2 linked regions of the Diceros bicornis minor genome follow. The protein of the gene in region 1 interacts with the protein of each later gene in a biochemical or structural test. Links are inferred from orthologs where the notes say so. Each region holds a gene or a part of one and is shown in the gene's direction. Other genes may lie near its edges.

Region 1 (8,449 bases):
GCACAAATGGGAGATAGTCCCTAGGGTACTGCTTCTGAGCTTAATGTGCTGAGAAATCACCTGGGCATCTTGTTAGATATTGATTCAGCAGGTTGAGGGTAGAGCTTGAGAATCTGAATTTCTAACAAGTTCTCAGGTAATGCTAATGGTCCCTAGACCACATAATTAAATAGCAAAGCAGTGGTTATGTTTCTGGGAGTTAAGTTTCTAGATGTTCCAAATTTCTTTGCAAAGTGAATGTATTAGTTTTCGATCGCTGCCATAAGAAATTACCAAAAACATAGTGGCCCAAAGTAACGCAAATTTATTATCTTATATTTCTGTAGTTCAGAAGTCCAACATGAGTCTCACTGGGCTAAAATCCAGGCATTGGAAGGGCTAGAGTCCTTCCTGGAAGCTATAGAAGGGAATTTGTTTCCTTGACTCTTCTAGCTTCCAGAGACACCAGCATTCCTGGGGTGCCCTTCCTCCATCTTCTCCAGTCAGCAACATAGCATCTCTCTGCCTCTGCCTCTGGTGTCACACCTCTTCCTCTGATTCCCTCTTCTGTCTCTCCCTTCCACTTTTAAGGGCTCTTGTGATTTCACTGGGCCCATCTGGACAATCTAGGATTATCTCCCCATTTTATATAGCAACCTTAATTCCATCTTCAATGCAATGAAACACAACATGTTCACAGGTTGTGGGGATTAAGACCTGCACATCATTGGGGGGTGGCATTATTCTGCCTACCACCATGATTATAAGAATTTATACACCCACTAGCAGCGCAAGTGTTTCTGCTGCTCCACATCCTTGGTAACATTTGGTCTTTAAGACATTGGTTTTTGCCAACTGATGGGTGTGAGATGATATCTGATTTTTTTGTTTTAATTTTCATTTCCTTAATTGCTTATGAGACTGAGAACTCTTTTTATATGTTTTCCTCTCCTGTGACTTGGCCATTCATATCCTTTGCCTATTTTCGATTGGGATGTTTGTGTTTTCTTATTGACTTGTAGAATTTACCTCTTTATTCTGGACACTAATTTTTTGTTTAAAAATTTTAAAGTTGCAATCTTAATGTAGTTGATTTTTAAAATTTATTTACTTTATGGTTTATGATTTTTTTTGTTATGGAGAAATCTTTCTTTTTCCCAAGTTCATAAAAATACTCTCCTATATTTTCTCCTAAAAGCATTATGGTTTTGTTTTTCACACTTGTCTTTAGCCCATCTGGAATTTACTTTTGTACATATGAGGAAAGGATCAAAATATATACTTTGTGTATGCATATATAAACAATTGTCCCAGCCCCATTTATTGAGTAGTCAATTGTTTCCCTTCTGATTTGTAGCAACTCTTTCATATCTAAGGTTTCTCATGTGTCTGGGTCTGTTTCTGGGTACTTATCATACCTTTACCAATTATACATTTTCTTAATTTCAATAACTTTATAATAAATCATTACATCTCATAGGGCAAATTTCTTCACCTTCTACTTCAAATTCTTCTTCGCTCCTTTATATAAATTTTACCATTAGTTTGTTAACTTTCTTGAAAAACTAAGTTAGGATGTTGTTTTTTCACACTGAATATATAGACTAACTTGGGATTACCGACATCTTTGTGAAACTCAATCTTCCCATTCAAGAACATGATACAAATTTCCATCTATGTAGTTTTTTTTACGTCTTTCAATAAATACTTGTGGTATCAGCTGTGTCGTATGTATCTTTCATTAAATTGATTCCTAAGTAGTCCATATTTGTTGTTGATATTGTAAATGACGGTTTTTTTCCTAAGATATTTTCAATTTGTCGTCTGGTATTAAGAAAGCAATTGATTTTTGTATGTTGATCTTTCATCCAGCAAAACTTGTTCAAGTCTCTTATCAACAATCTGTCTTTAGAGTCTCTTAGATTTTCTGTATGTAGGTAATCAACTCGTAATCATTGATAATAGCTTTGTTTTTTCTTTCCATCCTTATTCCTTGTATTTCTGTCTTTGTCCTACTTTACTGGCTGGGACCTCCAATACTTTGATGAACAGAACCAGTGTCCACGGGAATCCTTTTGTTATTCCTGTTTGTAAAGAGTATATTTCTAAGAATTCACCATTATGTATGAATATGTTTTTATAGGTTTTTGGTATTTATGTTTTATTAAGTTCCATTAAGTTCCTGTCTGTTTCCTAGTTTGAACATGAATGAGTGCTGAATTTTATTAAATGATTTTTCTCCATCTGTTGACATGACCATATGATGTAATGGAAGAAATGTAAAAAATTAATGCAGTAAATTAATAGATATTCTAATGTTTAATCAATCTTGCAGTCTTGGAAAAAACTCACCTTGGTTCTGATGTATTTTTATGTATATATTGCTGGGTTTGTTTGGCTAACATCTTATTTAGAGCTGTTGCATCTATGTTCTTAAATGAGACTGGCCTGCAATTTTCCTTTCTTGTACTGTCCTTGTCTCTTCTCAGTATCATACTTACTACACATATAAAAAGAATTTAGCACATTCCTGCACACTCTGTTCTCAGAAGCAGTTTGTATAAGATGGGGATTACATCTTCCTTGAATGTTTGATAGAACCTGCTTATCAAATCTTTTGGACAATGCTTTATATATTTCATTATATTGAACTTTATATAGTTTAAGTTTCTGTATTTTTCAGCAGTTTTTTTTTGGCATTTGAATGATCACTTACGACCGGAGTGGACTTATCAGTTATGAGAGACGTATGCTAAAATCTCCCTCCATGAGTATGGATTTGTCAATTTCTCCTTATAATTCTGTCAATCTTTGATATATATTTTTTAAAACTATGTTACTAGATAATTCTGAGAGATCTTGTTGGTAAAGTGTTTCTTTTATCGTAATTTAATTATTCTCTTCGCCTTAAAGTCTATTTTCCCCCCCCAAAGCCCCAGTAGTTAGTTGTATGTCATAGATGCACATCCTTCTAGTTGCTGTACATGGGATGCGACCTCAGCATGGCCGGAGAAGCGGTACGTCGGTGCGCGCCCGGGATCCAAACCGGGGCCGTCAGCAGCGGAGCGCTGACAACTTAACCACCAAGCCACGGGGCCGGCCCCTTAAAGTCTATTTTTGACTAATATTAATATAGCTATGCTATATATTTGGTATATTCTCCCCACCCCACTACCCTCTTTTAAGTTTTTTACTTTAGACATTTATAGATTTCATGTTTTATGTGTGGTTCTTATAGTGACATGTAGCTTGGGATTTGAAAGACAGACCTATCTGTCGACATTTGTCTCTTAACTGCAAAGTTTGTTTCATTAATATTGATGGCAATTATTGGAATATTTGGATTTATTTTTACTACATTATGTTGTGCTTTTTATTTACCTTTGTCTATGCTTTTCTTCTCTCCATTACGGCTTTCTATTGATCAGGTCAGGGTTTTTTTTAATTCCCTCTATTCCTTCTATTTCCTTTTGGTTTTGGTGGTTGTGCTTTAAAAGATAAACATTCTTAACTAACAAAGCAAAATTAATTAATTTCTCTATCACCTCTCTGAACAATGGAAGGATTTTAGAATACCTTACTGAACTTAAAGAGTACATTTTGGATTATTTCCTTAGATCTTTCTTCCGGTTCCTTAATATTCTCTTCAGCTTTGCCTACTTTGCCATTTAACCCATTCCTTGAGGGTTTTTAAAAATTTTGATTAACTTTTTTTTAAATTCTAGAAGTTGTATTTGGTTCTTTAAAAAGTCTACCTAGTCTTTTTCTTTTGACAACGTCTTTTTCTTTTTTCATGTTTCCAATTCCTTCTTGTAGATCTTAAATAATTTTAAACATTTATTTTCTAGTTTCTAGATGACATTTTAAATAAATGAAGTTCTTGGGGGAGAAGTGTCTAATCCTTTTTGGTTTCTGCTGATTCTGATTTATGGTGAGTTGTTTCCTCATATGTTTACATCTTTTTTACTGTGAATTTATTTTTACTGTGGCAGACAGTATACATTTGAATCTTGAACATTTGTGTGGGCAGGCCCAAAGTCACAAACTCTTAGCGACCCCGTGGAGTTCAGTCAGAGAGACAAGCTTACTTCTCACTTGCTTGTGCTGAGGCAGAGTGGGGCTGTGCCTATTGAAATCCCATGCGCAGCTCACTGAGGGTCCAGCTTTAGGCGCCCGTCTCACCTGTAACTCCTCAGCTGGCCTAAGCTTTGCCCCTACATGGTCATTAACACTTAGTTAATCAGGCCCTAATAACCTCCACCTCCTCCCCTCGCCTCCTGGGGAGCCCTAGCTGCAGCTCTTGGGCTCACCTTCTGATGTGGTTCCACCTCTGTCTTTGGCCCCTGGACACTTCCCTGACTTTACTGGGAGCTCATTTGTGCATTTAAAGTTTTTATTATTTTTATTATGTAAATACATTTCTAGGTGTTTTGTGCGGGAGAGTTTTCAGCTTATACAGACCCCATATATTGGCAGAATTTACCCTAAATTTACTTAAAAATATGATCTTTAAGCCTAGTGAAATAATATAATTTCCACTTAATATCAGGTTATGAAAAGAAACATACCTAAAATCAGTTTATTCCTTTCCCCCAGCTCTTTCTCTTTTTAGGTTTACCAGTTTTGCCATATTGTTTGTCATTTAAAAAGTGTGTTTATAAAAGTATAGTTGCAATTCCAGAAGGATTCAAGATGAAATGAGTCGGAATGGACTTGGCTTCTAGAGCCATAGGAATTCTTACTGTGTTGGTTTATCTTGGAATCAGAGAGTAACTTTCTCAGCTTAGACCTGTAAAACTATGTACAAAGGAAAAGTGAAAAAAAGTTTTCTGTACATAAAGGGTGTGAAATAACAAAAGTGCACACAAATGCTGAAATATGCTCTTGCTTCACACCTCTACGCCTGCTATTTCTCCCCCTAACCCGCCTCCCGCCCTTTCATCCCTCAGGGCTACCAATTCCAGTTACAACAGCCAGTCCTCAGAGGACAGTCGCAGCCCCGTTCTCCCCCCTCTTTCCCCTCTGACCCTCCTCCAATTAATCTGCAGTGTAAACTTTTGCGCTTTACTATTGTGCAACGTCCACGTTTCCCTCGCCCTCCCCGCCAGCCCCCGCCCCCCAAATCCAGGGGAACTCCCGTTACCGCAGTGCCACCGGCATTACTCATTCATCCCCATTCAGACTCTCCCAGCGTTTATTAAGGGCTCTCGCCTCCTGCGTCTCACTCGCCTCGCTCCTTCTCCGCTCACTGGAGAGCCTCTGGCCTCGTCCCCTCCCGCCAGCTGTGGGAAGAACTTCGTCTCTCCAGCAATGCTCCTCGCTGCGATTCTGTTTTGCGCTCTCTGGTCTGCAGTGTCGGCCGAGAACTCGGACGATTATGAGCTCATGTATGTGAATCTGGACAACGAAATAGACAATGGACTCCATCCCACTGAGGACCGTAAGTTCATTTTAACTGTTTCTCTGCTAACCCTAATTACATATCCACCTCTTTGGGTCTAAATAGTATACATATACTTCGTAGCCAATGAAATAAGCTAAAAATTAAAGTTTCGCAAAAGAGAGAAGCACTTTAGGAAAGCGGGAGGTTTCAAAAAGTTGTTTCTGTCACAGATACACAATAGGTTGAACTGTATGAAATCGCCGATATTTGCCTCTTCTGAGCTACGGCAATTTCATAAGAGTTCAACTAAATATATACCTGCATGAATGGTTTCTGTCATTCTCAAGATACTTATACGCTGTTTTTCGGAAGCGTCCTTAAGGGGAAGGGGGGTGCTGGGGATGGTCTGTGAATTGGGACCGCCAAGGGAGGTCAGCTTTTTACAAAGCACACCCGAGGAAGGCCTGGGCGGGTCGGTAACGTGTGTTGTGTCCCGCGCTCTAGCCACGCCGTGCGACTGCCGTCGGGAGCACTCGGAGTGGGACAAGCTCTTCACCATGCTGGAGAACTCGCAGATGAGGGAGGGCATGCTGCTGCAGGCCACCGACGACGTCCTCCGGGGCGAGCTGCAGAGGCTGCGGGCGGAGCTGGGCCGGCTGGCCGGCAGCCTGGCGGGGCCGTGCGCGCCCGCGGCCCCCGCGGAGGCCGGGCTGGCCGGCGCGCTGGACGAGCTGCTGCGGGCGAGCCGAGACGCGGGCCGCAGGCTGGCGCGCCTGGAGGGCGCCGGGGCGCAGCGCCCGCAGGAGGCGGGGCGGGCCCTGGGCGCCGTGCTCGAGGAGCTGCGGCAGACGCGAGCGGACCTCCGCGCCGTGCAGGGCTGGGCGGCCGGGCGCTGGCTGCCCGCAGGTAAGGACCCTGCGGCTTTGTTCTCGGAGCGCTCTGCGGGAAGCCAAGTCAGGCAACCCGCTGGGGGACGCTTTAATAGGGGAAACACACATACGGACCTCTGCTTCTCCATGACGGTCAGAGAGCTCAGACACACCATGCTAGGCGGGAAAACTGGCTTTAAAAAGTATTCTCCAGCCCCGAGGAACCCAGAAGATCGCTGTGCACGCAACCACCATAGTCTTGAAATAGACAGCAAGGGCCCGTGACTGACACCCGATCCCACCAGGCGTCGCAGGAGCTCCCTTGACCGATTATAACCGTGACCTCTCTCAGTGGCCGGCTTCTCTCCGTTAGGGATTTCCACTTCTAACTTTAACCTGTCTGCCTTTTGCGGGGAGCTCTGGTTCCTCGGGCTATTTCAGGCCCAGCCTAACTTTTAGAGACGTTTTCCAATCCCTGGGCCGGCCCCACCTCCCCGCTGTTGCTGAGCAAGAGACTTGGGGACGAAGCTGATCTCCCGGAGGAGTTAGTGGAATTCCTGAGGGGTCCCCCAGCCCCCGGAGGTCTGTAGAATTAGCGCGAGAGTGGAGGTCCGATGATCTGCGGCTTGGGATAAACCGGCCGTTGCGGGATCCACAGTGGAAGAGGCAGATGTGGGAGCCAGTTGGTACCCTGGCCCCACCCCAGGGATCTGGAGGATCACGGCCAAACAGGAGAGAGGCGGTTCAGACTAGATGCATCTTGCCAAAGTCCATGTGGTACTACTGGAATCTCCAAACACGTGTGGGCCCGAAATAATACATTTTAAAGATGGTTAAAAGAAATAGAGAAGATTTGGAACCAGGTGACACTCCTTTAGAAAGCAAAATTTCTAAGAAATGGTGATGCAACCATCATTTGTCGTTTATATTAGAAAATCAGTGTCCTAGGTAAGAAAATATAACTTTTTTTGTGTGTGTGTGTGAGGAAGATCAGCCCTGAGCTAACATCCATGCTAATCCTCCTCTTTTTGCTGAGGAAGACGGGCTCTGAGCTAACATCTATTGCCAATCTTCCTCCTCCTTTTTTCCCCCAAAGCCCCAGTAGATAGTTGTATGTCATAGTTGCACATCCTTCTAGTTGCTGTATGTGGGACGCGGCCTCAGCATGGCCGAACAAGTGGTGCGTTGGTGTGCGCCCGGCATCCGAACCTGGGCTGCCAGTAGTACAGCGCGTTCACTTAACCGCTAAGCCACAGGGCCGGCCCTGTGGCTATTTTAATGGATGAAATTTCTTGTCTTTTGCAAACTAGGTATAGTCATTGTACATAGAACCAAAAAACTGAAGAATTATGCAATTTTCATCTTCACTTGTGAATACTAGTTAGAGCAGAAGAAAGATGTATTTCTGAATTCTAAAATGTTAATTTCTTATTACATCCAATATTACTTTACCCACATGCTTTGATTTCTCCTCCCTTGGTTTCCTGCCAGCTTGGCTCCTAAAGGATTTCTAATCATTCTGTTGTCGGCCTCCTAAGAACCTGGTTTTCATTTTGTTTGGTCTTTGATAATATAATCAGAAAAATCTATTAGTTAAAAGCCATTTCGTGTGACAGTTTCTGATATTTTAAAGAGATGTCAAGAGACTCAATTACTGGTCCCCAAAAGAAGCCACAAAAACCCTGCCCCCATGCAGTTCCAGTCCATGAACTCACACAGCCAGCGCAGCCCGCAGAGGAAGCTGGGTCTCGGAGAGGCAATGGAGGAATGCTTTGGAATGCAATGCTGACCGCCTGGGCTTATTTAAACAGGAAATCAGTTAATTAGATTGCAGTAGGCGCCCTCTTGAACACTACTTTACTGAAACATTACAGAGAATATCTCAAATGCCCATGCATATGCTGATCTTTTGTTCCATGATCTTTGTTTGATTTAATTAATCCAGTTTGTTGATTTAAATGCACCTACCAATTTCATTTGAGGAAAAAAATCAATGTCTTATTAAAAATTAATTTTAAAAAATCTTCAAAAATTCAAATTATTCAGTAAAAAAGTTAATACCGAAGTGTGACGGGACCAATTTTGCGCTTTAGTATTGTAGTTACTTTCAGAGGATTTTCTGAATCTCACTATTTCTTTGACTATTACTAAAGGATAAGGTCCCCATCTGCTCCAGTTTTTCAGGACAGAGCCTAGCCCTCCGCCCCTTGCCCACGTT
Region 2 (8,285 bases), on another chromosome or scaffold:
AGAGTGAATTATACTGTATGTAAATTTAACAATAAATTTTAAAAACTTTCAAAAGGTCAATGGAGAAGTTAAGGTTTAAGAAATAAATGAGGGGCCAGCCTGGTGGTGTAGTGGTTAACTGCACGTGCTCTGCTGTGGTGGCCTGGGGTTCGGATCCCTAGCGTGTACCAGCGCACCGCTTGTCAAGCCATGCTGTGGTGGCGTCCCATATAAAGTGGAGGAAGGTGAGCACGGATGTTAGCCCAGGGCCAGTCTTCCTCAGCAAAAAAAAGAGGAGGATTGGCGACAGATGTTAACTCAGGGCTAATCTTCCTCACTAATTAATTAATTAATTAATTTAAAAAAAGGGCCGGCCCGGTGGCGTAGTGGTTGGGTGCACACACTCCGCTGCGGTGGCCCAGGGATCACGGGTTCGGATCCCAGGCACGCACTGACACACCACTTGTCGGGCCATGCTGTGGCAGCATCCCATATAAAGTGGACGAAGATGGGCAGGGATGTTAGCCCAGGGCCAGTCTTCCTCAGCAAAGAGAGGAGGATTGGCAACAGATGTTAGCTCAGGGCTAATCTCACCAAAAAAAAAGAAACTTCATTAGCTAGTTAGGAAAAAATAGTTGAGGCTGACCTTTAACCACCTACCAAAACAAATTCTGGGAGGATTGAAGAATTAAATATTTTTTGTCATAGAAAAAAAAAAAACAGATATTGCTCAAGCCTTTGGAGTAGGGAGAACTTTTTAAATTAGAAAAGATGAAGGAAGTGCTGAATGAAAGATTTATGGATCTAGCTATGTAAAAATGTAGAAATCCAGATTTCAGAAAGCCCCCAAAGTAAACAAACTGGGAAAACATATATTCAACAAATACAACAAGAAAGTGTCTTTACTATATAAAGAACTCATACAAATCAATCTAGAAATCACATAAACCTAAATTGATAAAGCATATAATTCCTATTTAATTTTGCAGTTATTGTTTTCATTTTCCTCTACTGTGGCTGTCATTGTGTTCCCTACACTTTGAAGAAGATCAAAGGAGGAAAAAGGCAATCCTCTTTCTTGTACTTCAGAAAATGTGTCAGATCTTCACCCCACCTTAACTACAGAATTATGGGTTTTTTTGTTTGTTTAATTCTTTTTTTTTTTTTAAAGAAATTCTTTTTTGGGAAGGGAATGATTGGCCCTGAGCTAACATCTGTTGCCAATCTTCCTCTCTTTTTTTTTTCCCTCCCCAAAGCTCCAGTACGTAGTTGTATATTCTAGTTGTAAGTCCTTCTAGTTCTTCTATGTGAGCTGCTGCCACAACATGGCTACTGACAGATGAGTGTTGTGGTTCCGCACCCGGGAACTGAACCCCCGCTGCTGAAGTGGAGCGTGCCGCACTTGAACCACTAGGCCGTCAGCTCTGGCTCTGTACCACTATACCTCAGTACCGTCTATGCACCGGACACTCATCCTCAGTGCCTAATTTGCACCAGCCACTACACTTATGTGCCTTCCATGGACCAGCCACTGTACCTCAGTACTTACTATGCACCATCCATTATACTGCTGTGCCTACTATGCATTAGCCACTGTACCTCAGTACCTATTATGCACCAGGAGCCATACTTCAGGGCCTTCCCTGCGCCAGCCAATTCTTTATGACAAGCTCTTTTGATTTCATTACTGACCTGTGTCAAGCACACAATAGGCAAGGCCACGGCCAAGCCCTGCCAGTTTGGGCCAGTGAAGACACAACGAGCCCTTTTTAGCTTTAGATGGTTTATTACTTACATGGACAACTAAAGGAAGAGTAGCTAAAGATGCCAGTTCCCCGTGGTCCTGGCTCCACAGACCAAAAAGGATGACATGCAACAAAAGGGCCAGATGATTGCAGAGCGAGTTGCAGTACACTCTGTGGCCAAGCAGGGAGTTCCGGGTTGCAACTAAATGGTTTTATAGCCTGACGTTCTGTCTAAGGTGGGCGAGGCAGAATGCCTCACACCTCATCAGAACCTGGGAGGCGATGAGAAACTGTCTTATGTCAGTCTCCCTGACAGACAGGGAAGCGAGTGAGACATGTCCTGGTAGCAACTCCTCACAAGCCTCCGTGCTGTGGTGTTCCAGGAAGACCGCAAGGAGGATCTGCCAAGACTTAGGACAGGCTACAGTCCAAACCTGGCCTATCTGGATATGTGCGGGGTCACGAGGGTGCCGTGGCAGAGCCGTCCCCCTACAACTTGCTGGTTACCTCCCTGATCTGCAGAAGTCACTCATCTCCTCTCATCTGCAATGAGACTTGCTCCATTTGTCCCCTTTCCTGTTTGTGAAATAAAGCTGTGTGATCCATCTGCATAGAATTTACTCACTGCCTGTTCTCCTTAGTTCACTACTTTTTTCCAAATTATCTAATATTTTCCACTATGCTACTAAGAATAAGAAGGAAAAGTATGAGTATATTCTGTATTGTATATTTCCGTGTAATAAACCACCCCAAAACTTAGCAGCTTAAACCAACAACCACTTACTATTTCTCATGATTCTGTGTGTTGGGTGGGTGCTCCTCTGCTGGTTTTGCCTGGGCATACAGCTGGGATCAGCTGGGCTAGAAGGTCCAAGATAGCCTCAGGCACGTATCTGGCAGTTGGATCTGGCTATCTCTTGGGGCAATTAGTTCTCCATTGGCCTCTCATCCTCGGTAAGCTAGACTGGCTGCCTTACATGTCCCTCTTGGGCAGCATTCCCAGAGACCCAAGGCAGAAGCTTAAGATCTAGTTTGGAAGTCACGCAACTTCACTTCTACCACATTCTTTTTGTCAAAGCAAGTGATGAGAACAGCCGAGATTCAAGGGGTGGGGAATAGATTCCTCCTCTTGATAGGATGAGTTGCAAAAAAAGCGCATGCCCGTGTTTTTCAATCTACATCAATACAAAAAGACTAGACTAACTTCCATCGAGTGAATAGGTTCATTGAAGCCCAAACAAAATATGACTTGACTTTTCATTCAGGTAAGTTAGAATGCCAATAGACTAAACATCTCCAGTTCTGGTCACTGCAATAAAATTACCGTAACACTAACAGGTCAAGGATGGAAACTACTAAAAGTTGTCATAGGCCCAGAAAATATTTGCAAGAGGAAGTAGTGATATTAAGTCTTATTTCTGCAGGCAAGGTGACCTGACAAGGATGGTTTCCAAACCTCAGAGAGTTATGCCTATTTGATTCCGAGTTTCTTTAGTTAATAATAGAATGGAGAACATCCAAAGATTTTGTTAGTTAAGGGGAATTTGCAAGTTAACTGTTTTAAGTAACTATTGGTTGGCCAACATTCACTGACAGGAGTTTGCATTTTTACCATCTACCTTGCATAACTGATGAAAGTGAAATGAGGTAATTAATGTAATGTGTGTAGTGTAATACCTGGCTCACTTTGCCTTAAAAAAATATAGTTGCTACTGTTATTGTATTCAAAGCTTCACCAAGAATTTACATTGTTTAATGGTAAGTAGACATTCTATTTGGTACTTTCTTAATATATTTTTGTGGTCAAAGTGGGTGCTCGATAAACTTGCTTTAAAAACTTTTCAAGCTGAAATTATCATTGCCATATTCTATGGGGTAAAAATTTGGAACCTCCATTTTCTATTTGTTCATATGTTGGAAATTGACCTAGCACAAATGCAACAGTCAGCTATTGCTGTGTAACAAAAAAACCACAAAAGAATCTCAGTGGCATTTAACAAAAGCATTTATTTTGCTCATGGATCTGTGAAGTGGCTAGAGACATTTTGCCTCTGACTGCAACACCTGGTTCTGCCTCATGCTACAAGTCGCAGATAGGTAGAAACAGCTCTGCTCAAAATGTGTTTATTCTGAGGCCCAGACTGAAGGGGCAGCAGCTACCTAAAGTAAGTTTATCTCATGGCAATGGCATAGGCACAAGAGAACAAGCAAAAATATGAAGGATCTCTGAAGGTCTAGGTTCAGAACTGACGTACTGTCACTTCCACCCAAGCCAATGGAATAGCCAAGTTCACCTTTAGTAGGAGGAACTACTAAGTCACAGGGAAAACTCCAAGTAACAATAAGAGGTGAAGAATTGAAGCCAATAATGCAATCTACCACAATATTGTTTAAGGACTCTTGGCCTGCTGGCAGACAGTCCCTAATCCTACCTCCGTAAAGAGACATGTCTCCTGGTTAGGCTTCTCATACTTTCTCAATAGGACACAAATCTCTTGGTTGGCTGACTGTTGAAGCTCATGATTCTATCTTTAAATAATAACGTGGGATGTCTGCCTTGTCAAAAGTTCAGAAATAATAGAAGTAAAACCAGCGAATCACTGAAGTAGTAATTAGTAAAAGTTTATTGTATACACAACAAAAAGACAGTCTGCAAACGAGGAACATTCAAACAAAAACATGAACTGAGGCTCAGGGGTGTAGTGTTATAAAGCAGTTTATATAGTGAGAAGTAGTGACTATTTATCTTCACAGTGATTGGTTATAATATTAGCATCTTCAGTGCTTACTTCATATCAACCTTGGGAAACAGTTCAAGTTTTGCTTGTAATTTCCAGAGGCATAAGCAAGAAATGACCCGGGGCAAGTTAGTCTTGCAAAATAAGCTAAATTAGGCTTCGCTTGTATGATTAAACTGGTTTTGTCTGCTCAGGGAATTTTCAAGGATGATCTCCATTTGTTTTTGATTTTAACAATTCCCCCCTTTTGGTCATTCTCTCAGCAGGCTGAGAGAATGACCAACTAGTTTAGCGTTATTCTTGGTTATGACCATTGACGTAGTCAGGCCAGAGAATCACATATTCACTGTTTCCGCTAGTTGAGTCGTCAGGCCGGAGGGCCATGTAGTCACTGTCTTTGTCATTTATGTGGTTATTATTATTATTATTATTATTTTTGCTGAGGAAGATTTGCCCTGAGCTAACATCTGTTGCCAATCTTTCTGTTTTGTTTTTTTTTTTGGCTTGAGGAAGACTAGCCCTTAGCTAACATCTGTGCCAATCCTCCTCCATTTTGTAAGTGGGTCACTGCCACAGCATGGCTGATGAGTGGTGTAGGTCCGCGCCCAGGATCCAAACCCACCAACCTGGGCTGCCAAAATGGAGCGCTCCGAACTCAATCACTATGCCACAGAGCTGGCCCCATATGTGGTTATTGCTTTCACCCTGTTGTCTGATCCTGATGGGTACCATTTGGCGTGTGAGTGGCTGCTGACAGACATTTAAAACCCTTGAGAGTATACGACGTACTAGAGGGTTAATATGACTACTATAAGGAGAACAATAGCCAAGGACTGAAAAATTCCTGAAGCAGAGATTTCTAGGAGCCAAGATTTAAACAACTAAATAAATCACATGAGTTTTGATTTTTTTAAGTTATTTACATGAACATAACATGATGTATTAGCAAACACATATCCTCATGATTACTTAGGACAAGATGAATGTGAGGATGTTTTATTTCAGGAAGTGGTGATACAGGTGAGCTTTCATTTCAATTAGGTCTCTATATGATGTGAGCAATCAGGTAATTTAGTGAGAGGCATTTCTGTGGAAACAAAAGAAAAACAAAGGTTAATAGTTGGAGCAAATTATAAACTCAGTTTCTGAGTTTGGAAAGCAGCCAGTTGAAAAGATTTCTAAATGTCAGTGTCTAAGCCTCTTCAGGTGGAGCAAGGCAAGCAGTGTCAATCTGACAGATTTTCCTGGTTTGCAGGGTGAATGTCTCTGGCCATCTTTCTGAGTGGCCGCATAGCAACAGGCACGAAGATTGTCCACACACAAGTGATGATTTCTCTGAAGTTTATATCAATATGTCCAGCTATAGCTGGCATGGCTTCTGGAAAAGGGCAGTTTTAGTTTCATAGTGATTCCAGGTTGAAAGAATGGGAGAAAATTGGAAATTTTAGTTTGGAAATTTCTAGCCAAATACTGGAGGGAACTAGAAGAATTCAGGATCCAGTCCAGGTTACAGGTAGAAAAGAAAACCTCAAAGACAATTAACAGTACTAGAATCTGATATCCACCAAGATGTATTTCTGAAATATAATTTTTCTCCTTATGATCATTCCCATTTCTATCAAAGATAACCATAGTAAGACTAATTTGTTTGCAAATTAATTCTAGTTTGAATAAACTTGGCTGATTATTTACATAAGTGCAGCAAGAATAGTGATTGACTATATAGGCTCCTTTGAATTTGCTTTGCTGGAACTTTTCATAAGGAATCTCAGAGTGGACTATCAAAAGCCTCTTGAGGCTAGGAAGCCAAGCCAAGGACTTGTCCAATTGTGTCCTGTTACAAGGAGAATAGATTCTTATTGAACTTATGCAAATACATATATTTTCATGAAAAATAAGAATATTTAATAAGAGTTTCTAAATTCTGGAGGAATCAGGTAGGAAGAAAAAGATAAATGCTTCAACTTTTGTTGCAAAGAAACACTTTACCAAGTTGCCCTGAGTTATAGATAGCTTAAAAGACAGGAGAAAAAGGGATGCTTTAAATCTGGAAAACAAAACATTACAGAATCAGCAATGTTTTAAATGAACTCATAAAAATCATAATCATCTTCATCAGTTGATTTAGTCTCCTGTAATTAATTCTTGTTTTGCTTCATCTTGGGTTAGCAACTTTATGAGTCAATCAGTTTCCCATTAGAATTCTATAAATTCTTATCCAGTTCAGTTATCAGAAGCCTGCATTTTAGAGTACTTGTCAGGATCTTTTCCATGAATCTCTTTGAAGATGAAATGCACTTCACAAGAAGATTTTTGCAAAAACATCAGAGTAAAACAATAACTGTCAGTAAATGACAAAAGACTTAAAAATGACCATGGTTAAAGATCTTGTGGGAGTTCCTTATAATGTGGTTGACAAGGAAATTTGGTTATTTCTCTGACATACACTTGAAAACAATAACTAGAATAGTGACTGATAACATTATACCAGGACATATCAGATTTTTAGGAATTTCATATAATTTCTTTAACACTTATATTAATAACATATTTATACAAATATAAACTAAAGAAAGTTTAGCATCACTTCTTATTTGACAAAGCTTCCCATGTAATTTAGCATATCAAATAAGCACAATTAGTTTAATATTTTTCTTTTATGAGGAGAGAAAACAAATCTTTTGAGATGTTCCAGGGGCCTTCTGTAAAATCCCAAAGTTAGTTCAAGATCAAAAAGACTTCATTCAGAATTTGATTTGAGGAAGTTTGTTAAAAATGTCAAAAAATTTAAAACATTTGATCAAATAGGATTATAGGTCACTGTGAAACAATACTTAGTTATCCCTTCAACTAAAGTGACAAAAGATTTCAGAGGCAAATATAGAAAGTTATATAGTTGTAAAAAACCTTAGCTCTTTTAATAGAGAAGACGATTTTTCTAATTAATCAAAGCATGATGAAGAAAACATGAAACACAGGAAATATTTTTATAAGACACAGAATCTTTGTTTCTTCAGCAGATTATATTAAAGGTAAAGGAAAACCTTTGTTTATAGTTTCTTTTTTATTTTGTTTTGTGAGGAGATCAGCCCTGTGCTAACATCTGCCAATCTTCCTCTTTTTTTGCTGATGGGCTAACATCCGTGCCCATCTTCCTCTACTTTATATGGGACGCCACCACAGCATGGCTTGGCAGGCGGTGCGTCAGTTCATGCCCGGGATCTGAACTGGCAAACCCCGGGCCGCCGCAGCAGCGGAGTACGCGCACTTAACCACTTGCGCCACCAGGCCGGCCCCAATATAGTTTCTTATTAAGAGCAGACCAATAACCTAAGAAAACTTTGTCCTTTGAACGGAAAAAAAACCAAATTCTAATTTTGCACCAGTGTACTTTTGATATTAAAACTCTCTTTTTTTCTTTCTTTTTAACTTAAATAAATCCATTCCAATCCTAGTCAACTTGACCACATATAAAATTCCTTTCTCAGGAGTTTTTTTCCACAAGAAACCTTCTACAACTTTCTATATCCATTTAGGTTTTGTCCTATCTTTTTCCTTTCTTATTCTGGAGCAATCATTTTATTTTAGGACAAAATTACTTTCTTTTTTCCTTTTTACATACACACACAAAAAACAAAACAAAAAAAAACCATGTCCTGCATACTTTTCCTTATCCAGAAAATACATTCTATTTTCCTTGCCTACTTTTCATATACAGTCATTTTCCTTCACCCTTATTATTTCTAGTAGTTTTTTTTTTTTTACATATTGACTATAAATTTTAACTACTTGTAATCTTTCCAGTGAAAACTGGGAAGTAGGC

The links.
Region 2: the proteins of PTX3 (region 1) and FGF2 form a complex in vitro, tested with the Homo sapiens proteins (3 studies listed by BioGRID and IntAct, with this or other methods). The link is inferred for Diceros bicornis minor from reciprocal best matches to the Homo sapiens genes PTX3 and FGF2.

Annotation. Positions count from the first base shown.
Region 1 is NC_080754.1:63,619,982-63,628,430, forward strand, and holds the start of PTX3 (pentraxin-related protein PTX3), read left to right. Parts: upstream 1-5,227; 5' UTR 5,228-5,289; coding exon 5,290-5,419; intron 5,420-5,866; coding exon 5,867-6,268; intron 6,269-8,449.
Region 2 is NC_080750.1:15,952,199-15,960,483, forward strand, and holds the start of FGF2 (fibroblast growth factor 2), read left to right. Parts: upstream 1-5,101; coding exon 5,102-5,201; intron 5,202-8,285. UniProt on the Homo sapiens protein: Acts as a ligand for FGFR1, FGFR2, FGFR3 and FGFR4. Also acts as an integrin ligand which is required for FGF2 signaling. Binds to integrin ITGAV:ITGB3.